2 linked regions of the Cricetulus griseus genome follow. The protein of the gene in region 1 purifies or fractionates together with the protein of each later gene. This does not show direct contact. Links are inferred from orthologs where the notes say so. Each region holds a gene or a part of one and is shown on either strand. Other genes may lie near its edges.

What was found.
Region 2: the proteins of Ftsj1 (region 1) and Wdr6 purify together in Homo sapiens (affinity purification with mass spectrometry; 3 studies listed by BioGRID and IntAct, with this or other methods). This does not show direct contact. The link is inferred for Cricetulus griseus from reciprocal best matches to the Homo sapiens genes FTSJ1 and WDR6.

The regions. Positions count from the first base shown.
Region 1 is NC_048604.1:114,721,504-114,725,310, forward strand, and holds part of Ftsj1 (putative tRNA (cytidine(32)/guanosine(34)-2'-O)-methyltransferase), read right to left. Parts: intron 3,579-3,807; coding exon 3,475-3,578; intron 3,387-3,474; coding exon 3,189-3,386; intron 3,024-3,188; coding exon 2,988-3,023; 3' UTR 2,979-2,987; intron 1-2,978. UniProt on the Homo sapiens protein: Methylates the 2'-O-ribose of nucleotides at positions 32 and 34 of the tRNA anticodon loop of substrate tRNAs. Requisite for faithful cytoplasmic translation.
Region 2 is NC_048597.1:216,752,875-216,757,389, forward strand, and holds the start of Wdr6 (WD repeat-containing protein 6), read right to left. Parts: upstream 2,963-4,515; 5' UTR 2,853-2,962; coding exon 2,753-2,852; intron 857-2,752; coding exon 1-856. Other genes in the region: P4htm (transmembrane prolyl 4-hydroxylase), read right to left, coding at 3,356-3,576, 3,965-4,088, 4,262-4,352. UniProt on the Homo sapiens protein: Together with methyltransferase FTSJ1, methylates the 2'-O-ribose of nucleotides at position 34 of the tRNA anticodon loop of substrate tRNAs. Required for the correct positioning of the substrate tRNA for methylation.

The sequences.
Region 1 (3,807 bases):
AGCCACCAAAACACCAAACAATGAAATTAAAAAGTGGGGTGCAGAACTAAATAGAGAATTCTCAACAGAGGAATCTGAAATGGCTGAAAGACACTTAAGAAAGTGCTCAAAACATTGGCCATCAGAGAAATGCAACTCAAAACAACCCTGAGATACCACCTCACATCTGTCAGAATGGCTAAAATCAAAAATACCAATGACAATCTATGCTGGAGAGGATGTGGAGAAAAAGGAACACTCCTCCATTGCTGGTGGGAGTGCGAACTTGTAAGACCACTCTGGAAATCAGTATGGCGGTTGCTCAGAAAAATGGGAATCAGTCTACCTCAAGATCCAGCCATTCCTCTCTTGGGTATATACCCAAATAGTGCATGTTCATACAACAAGGACATATGTTCAACCATGTTCATAGCAGCATTGTTTGTAATAGCCAGAACCTGGAAGCAACCTAGATGCCCCTCAACTGAAGAATGGATTGAGAAAATGTGGTACATTTATACAATGGAGTACTACTCAGCAGAAAAAAAGCAATGGAATCTTGAAATTCGCAGGCAAATGGATGGAACTAGAAGAAACCATCCTGAGTGAGGTAACCCAGTCACAAAAAGACAAACATGGTATGTACTCACTCATATATGAATTTTAGACATAGAGCAAAGGATTACCAGCCTATAATCCTCTTCACCAAAGAAACTAGGAAACATGAAGGACTCTAAGGGATAAATGGTCCCCAGGAATGGAAGTGGCATGAACTCCTGAACTAATTGGGAGCATGAGGGTAGGGGAGAGGGAGCTAGCACAATAAGAGCAAGAGAAGAGGGGTAGAGGTGAGGAAATGGAGGGGCAGAAATATTGAGTTGGGGGAAGAATAGAGGAAAGAGAGCAGGATGAGAGATACCATATTAGAGGGAGCCACTATAGGTCTGAGAAGAGATCTGGAACCAGGGAGATCTCCAGAGACCTACAAGGATGACACGATCTGACAATCCAGGCAATGGTGGAGAGGATAACCTAAAAGTCCTTCCCCTAAAATGAGATTGATGACTTCTCTTTATGCCATCCTAGAGCCCTCATCCAGTGGCTGATGGAAGCAGAGACAGACATCCACAGATATACACTGAGCTGAAATCTGGAATTTAGTTGAAGAGAGGGAGGAATGAAGAGTGAAGGGGTCTGTACCAGGTTGGAGAAACCCACAGGAACAGTTGGCCTGAACAAGGGAGATCGCATTGACCCCAGATGCTGTCGGGGAGGCCAGTATAAGACTGATCCAGACCCCAGAACATGGATGTCAATAAGGAGGCCTCTGCACTCCAGGGAGCCTCTGGTGGTGGATTAGTATTTTTCCCTGGTGTAAGAAGGGACTTTGAGAGCCCATCCCACGTGAAGGGTTACACTCTGGCCCTGGACACATGGGGAAGGGCCCAGGACCAGCACAGGAAGATTTGGTGGACTTTGCAGAGCCCCCGTTGAGGGCCCTACCCTGCCTGGGGAGTGGTGGGTGGATGGAGTGGGGGTAGGCTGGGGGTGGAGGAGGAGGGATGGGGTTGAGGGGAGGGGAGGGAGAGGGAGAAGGGACTTACATGTGAAACAAGCTTGTTCCCTAATTAGAACTAATAAATAAATTTTAAAAAAAGCACTGGCTACTCTTCTAGAGGTCCCAAGTTCAATTCCCAGAAACCACATGAGAGCTCACAAACATGTGTAGTGAGATCTGGTGCCCTCTTCTGACCTGCAGGCAACATGCAGGCAGAACACTGTATACATAATAAATAAATAAAACTTTAAAAAAGTAACTAAAACAACCTCCTACCGCAGGATTACAGGTATGGGCCACAACAGCCAGGTTCTGTGGTTCTGGGGATAGAATCCAGAACTTTGTGCATTCGACCAACTCAACACAGCTCCTAATATGTTTTTGTTTGTTTCCTTGGTAGTATTGAAGATTGAAACTTTCAGCCCTTTGAAGATGTATTTTTATTTTATGTGTATGAGTGTTTTGCCTGCAATTATGTACAATAAATAAAATGCTAAAAAATTTTAAGCCAAAATTTACTGAGGGCTTTCATCTTTTGAGACAGGTTTTTATGTAGCTCAGGCTGTTTTCAAACCTGCTACATATCTGAGCCTTGTTTTGCATCTGAGTGCTAGGAATATAGGCACTACTACTATGCTTGTTTTTTGTTGTTTTTGTTTTGTTTTGAGACAGGGTTTCTCTGTGTAGCTTTGGAGGCTGTCCTGGAACTCACTCTGTAGACCAGGCTGGCCTGGAATTCAGAGATCTGCCTGCCTCTGCCTCCGGAGTGCTGGGACTAAAGGTGTGCACCACCACTGCCTGTTTTTTTAGATGGTGCTAGAGATTGAACCTACGGTTTTGTACATTCTAAGCAAGTATTCTATACACTTAGCTATACTCCAAACCAATGAAGGATCTTTCTTTTCTTTTCTTTCTTGGTTTTTCAAGACAGGGTTTCTCTGTGTAACAGTCTTGGAACTTAATTTGTAGATCAGGTTGGCCTCAAACTCAGAGATCCATCTGCCTCTGCTGGGATTAAAGGCTCAGGATGGAATTTTCTTTTTCTTTCTTTTTAAAAGACAGGGCCTCATTATGCATCCTTGGCTGGCCTGGAACTGTTCAGACCAGGCTAGCTTCAAACTTGTAGAGACCTGCCTGCTTCCCCTCCACCTCCCAAAGTGCTGGGATTAAAGGTGAGTGCCACCTTGCCCAACTATTTTTATTATTTTTAATTGTGTGTCCTTGTCCTGGGTATGTGCTTTCGAATGCAGGTGCCCAGGGAGGCCACATTCGTCCAATCTCATGGAGGTGAGCTGCCAGATATGGTGTTGGGAACCAAACTCTGATCCTCTGCAAGAGCACTACCTGCTCTAAACCAGTAAGCCAGCTTGTAGTCCCATTCAGCTTTTTCCCAAAGATGCCCTTTATTTGAACTTTGGGGGTAAAAAAAAGAAAAACTTACCTTAATGTGTTAAGGTGAGCAATTGATTTCAGTGTCTTCCACCTGCTGAAAAAGAAAAAGAAAAAGAAAAGGGACTCAGCTACTTGATTACATTTTTCCACTTGTCAGATTCTTATAGTTGTTGCATGGCAGGAGAGAACCATGTGAGTCAGGACAGAAACAGGCATATGGGGAAGGCATCATGGTGGGCTCAGAAGTGAGTATCCATACCTTGGGAGCCAGCACGGTATGACACTGAGGTACAATCAAAGGCTGGGGCAACTTGTCTACTCTGCCGATGGAGCATTCTTGGGGGAGGAGCTCCTTGGCCAGCTGCCCATTCTTCTTCAACCTGCAGGCCTCCTGGTATGGGGGTGAGATGGGGGGCTGTGTGGGTGGAGTATATTTGTACTCGGAGCCATCTTCTAGCTGTGGGACACAAGGAGCAGGGAGATGATGAGGCTCTGAGCATCTGAGACAGTCTCCCTGACCCATGTCCTAATGATTGGACACTCACATCCAGAGGATAACTGCGATCGGAATCGTAGGCACTGAGGTCCCCACAGGTCACAAAGGGCACAATAAAACGGGCAGGACCATCCAGCTGGTTGAAATCTAAATCTTAGAAAGAGGTAGAGTGAAGACTAAGACCAAGGCCAGTTATGGCACAGGTTACAGGAGCGTTAAGCCCTTCCCAATTAACTGGTCTATCATCAACTAGTCCTCTAGAGCAGATGGTCTTCATGGGGGCTTGTCTGATCACTGATTCTAAAATGTCAGCCCCTACTCTGGCTTTTTACTGTATTTTGTCCACTCAGCATTTTACCAGCACATCCCATCAGGACCTTGT
Region 2 (4,515 bases), on another chromosome or scaffold:
TCATCACCCCCAGTGATCACCCAGGCTTGCCTCTCATGAGCAGCTAGGGCCCGGATACCGCGGCCCTGGTGGCCCCGAAAGGCTTGAAGGATCTCACCTTCATGGCTCCACACCAAGCAGACACAGTCCTCTCCTGCACTAATGAGATAATTCTCTAAGAGCTTCACCTGCCATACACGGGCACTATGTCCAAAGCAGTGACCAATGTTCTGCACCCGACCCCCAGGTACCCGGAGGTCGCCCACCTTCCAGATACGGACACTTCGGTCTTCTGAAGCAGTTGCCAGCAGGCCCTTGCTTTCCAGGTATGACATGCTGAAGATGACACCCACGTGTCCACTAACCCGACGGTCAGGTGCCACAGGTTTGTTGTCTGTCAAAGCAGTTGCTGGATACCAGACCAGGAGCTGGTTGGAAACGGCCCCTGCCACTATGGTCAGTTCCTTCCAAGTGTCTCCAATCAGGCAGGCTGAGGAGAGGGTGCACCTGTCTGTGCAGGGTACGTCCTGTAGCATGCACCCTATCACAGGGTCATACAGCACCACTGAGTTGTGGCCCAAGGCCAAGGCTATGTTGCCTTCAAGCCAACGTACATCCCAGATCCAGTCGGACATGTTCCACAGGCCAGAGCGCCAGAGCTCTCGAAGATGGCTTTGACCCCAGCTAATTTTGACAATTCTGAGTCCCTTACTCCCAAACACAGCTATCATGGCCTCAGAGTCAAGGTCTCCTTTGGGCTCTGGTCGCACTCGGAAACCATGGATAAGAAAGTGGCCAAGCAGGTTCTGTACTCGCTTCACCATCTGGAGATGCCCACCAAAGTCCAAGTTGTACACCAGTAAGTCAGGCCCCTCACCTAGACAGAGGTAGAAAGCCACATCAGAGCCACTCCCCTAACGCTGTGGTCCATGACAAGATGGGAGCACAGCACTTGTTAACATATAACTTAATATATCAAGGACACAAAATCCTACTAAACCTAGGACGTCCTGACCTCAGCTTCAGCGAGACTTCTACTTCAAATGTATGTGTTTCTCAGGTACTTGTTTTTGTGGTGAGGTTCTCCCACACAGCCCAAGTTGACTTTGAATTCAAAATCCTCTTGTCTCAGCCTCCCAGCTGCTGAGATTATAGCACGGTGCCATTGTGCCTGGCTATCCATCACCCTTTACGTATATTCACTAGGAATTCTCCCATCATTGTTACATTTCAGATGGGAAAGCCAACTCTGCTCTATTCCCCAAATTCTCAGCTTCATCTGTCTCTACATGACTCTCCCTCCCTCAGGGAAAAGGCTGTGTCAACCTTTCCACACCTTAAGCCTATAACCAGCAACCCTCCCTCCTCAACCGATAACCCTGTGCATATTCAGAGGCACTGGCAGGAGTGGAGGCAGGAGCAGCCCACACCTCACAGGCAGGGGAGCTCTGGCCTCACCACTAGACAGCGGTGAACCCTTGTGTGAGACTCAGGCTTAGAAGGCCTCAACAGCACCAGACAGCAGAGAACCCTTGGAAGGTAGAATGAGGTACAGTTAGCAAGAGAGACGGCTCAGCAGTTAAGAGCACTGCTCTTCTGGTGGCCTCGAGTTCAATTCCCAGCACCCACATGGCAGCTCACAGCTGTCTGCAACTCCAAGGTCTGAGAGGGTTAAACCTAGACAGCATCTACTGTGTTACCCACACTCCTAACTTACGCTCAGAGGCTTGTCCAGTGCCTCCCTCTATACAAACTCACACTTCCTGGGCAATCTCTTACACCCCTTTTGTGTTAGAGCCCACAGACCCAGATCAACAGACATTCCCAGAATTGGCCTGGCAGCTTCCTTTTGGCCACGCTGCAGCCATTTCCCGCTATCTCATCCGCATCCCAGCAAACATCCCCAGCCACTGCCCACCCCAGCCCAAACCCAGAGGCCGCAACATTACTCCTCTCTTAATGCTCCATATCTTCTCTTTCTCCAGCTTCTACAGATTTCACTTCCAGAAGAGTTTGCTGGCCCCACCTCACTGGAGCAAACCAATATTTGCACCCACACACTCCCCCCACCCTCCGCTTATCAACTCTCCATTATACCCTCGACACAACCTTGTTGGGCTGACGATGGCTGACCAGAGGCATAGTAGTCAGTGCTAGGGAGCTTTATGAATCCCCCGCCGCCACCATCACCAAGGCTAGTGGCTTCGAGTTAGGTTCTTTACCACCAGACACTGGGTCATGTGATTACTGACCCGGCTGGCCTAGAGCCCCAACCGTTGCAGGAGGGACCTGAGCCCGGCCCCTCCCAATACTGCTCTACTCGGAGAAGTCTCAGACTCAATTTTTGGCGACCATACCCTCCTTCAGGCCCCTCATCTTTGGGGGCGGAGCCTCACCCTCCCCAGAGGCCAACCTCGTGCCACGCCCCCTGGGGCCGTCGTTCTCTACCTCATCTGATTCCTTCAGGAGTGCAATGCCCTCCCCCCCCCCCCGTAGGGAGCGACGGCACCCCACCCGCCCTCCCCACGCCCTCCCCACGCCGGCTGCAGCTGAGGAGGAGCTGCCACGACGGCCTCAGCCCTGTCTCCCGAGCCCCGCCCCCCTCGGGCTGGCCCGCGTTCCCGCCACCTCCCAACCGGCCTCATCCCACGGCCAGGGCCCAGCCCGCTGCCCGTCCCCGTCCCGGGGCATCCTTTGTCCCGACGCCACCGCCCCGGGGGACCGGCTACGTCTTCGCCCGCCAGCACGACGAGAGCGGGCCAAGCCTCCTCACCCGCCAGCAGCCGGTCCCCAACGCACTCCAGACCCGTGACCGGGAGGAGTATGAGCTCCGAGGTCGCCTGCGGCCAGACGAAGTCCCCGACAGCGTCCATGACGTTCGTCAAGCTGCCGCAGCCGCCACAGCCGAGAAGAGAGCGGCGTTCTCGCGAGAACCAGCCGTCTGAGAGCCGCGTCGCCGAGCTCCCGATCCCCTAGCTACAGGTAGCGGAGCCCCGGCGCCCGGCCGCGGACGTCCAATGACGACCCTCGGCCCCACGCGATCCGGCTGGCGATTGGCCCAGCAAGGGAGCCGCCCCGCCCCCCGCCCCGCCCCCGCCCCCCGGGAAGCTGGCGGGGAGAGCGGCGGGCCTCCCCTCCCCCAGGCGGCGCGGAGCTGGCCTGCACCCGGCTCGAAGCCCTGTCGTTTTATTTGATGGAGCAGCATGGAGGCCGCTGTACACCAGTAAATAACGTGAACGTAGGAACAACTGCGCCCCTCATCGCGGCTGCAGGCGGGAAGGGGCAGGGCAAGATCGGCCAGATCTTTAGTCTGCAGTACAACAGAGGACCTGCAGGGTCTTTGACGATGGGCAGTGACTTGCATCTTGGCCTCGCGTCAGAGCTCCACGCGGGCATCACTGTAGGCCCTGTCCAAGGCCCATTCGGGCTGCGGGTCGGAGCCGCCTTCACGCGCCAGACGAGCCATCTCCTGCTGGAACAAAGCTTGCCGTGCCCGGCTGGGGTCCACATTGATCCAGTTGTTAGCGATCCACTTGGTGCCACGGGTGACCAGGCAGCCGCCATGCAAGGAGTAGTCGTCCACTTCACCCACCCAACCTAGGGGACGAAGGTGGCATGAACAAAGGGACACGTGGGAGGGAACCCTAGGCTGGACCCTCCTGAGCTGTGGAAACTCCTAATCCCCATGGAAGGACTCGGCATCTCACCCACTAAGGCATGGCCAATACACTGGCCCTCTGCCCGGCTTCCTTGTTGCTGAGCCAGCCACTCCATAGCTCTTCCCGGCCTGGGTTGTTGAGAGTATTTCCCTAGCCCCAGAGTACAGAAAGGCTGATGCGTGAGGGCAATGGATGGAGATACCCCAAGAGGCTGCGCTGTGGCCTAATGAAATCACTGGTTATGGCAGAAGGCTATTTGGAGAGCAGACAGAAACAGCCCTCAGGTGGCAGAAGGGAGAGATAAGTTCCCTCAGAGAAGCCCTCACCTTGCCCATCAGGCAGGTAGTTGTACCAAAAGACTGCAGTTCCTTGCTGGGGCTTGACACGAAGGTTCCCCTTGTCACAGTGCCTTCGAGTGTCTCGGAGATCAACATCATCCTGAATTAGACTCTGTGGGCAACAAGGAGTTGATGTTTGTGGACTGCCTGCCTCTGTACAGTCAGGCAGCCAAAGTTGGCTAGAGGGAAAACAGACATGTGCCCTCACCCCAGGTCTGGAAGGGTGTGTGTGCACTTGCCCAAGGCCCTGCCAACCCACAGAAGTAATAGCCCATTGGCCCTTACCATTTCATCATAGGTCCTGTTGTCTGCTACAGGGAAGACAGTCTCGCCCCCACCGGTGACGTTGTTCAAATAAAACAGCACCGTCATGTAACTGTAAGGCGGAGGGGAGGGGCTGCTGAGCGGATCCCCAACTGAGGATATTCCCACTTGTGGGCAGGGTTACTCAGGGGCCACAGGGTCAGGTTAGGAGGGCCAAGACATTTCTAGCCCTTTACCCCCACAGAGCCACTCTTCTTGTGTGGCTGAGATGACAG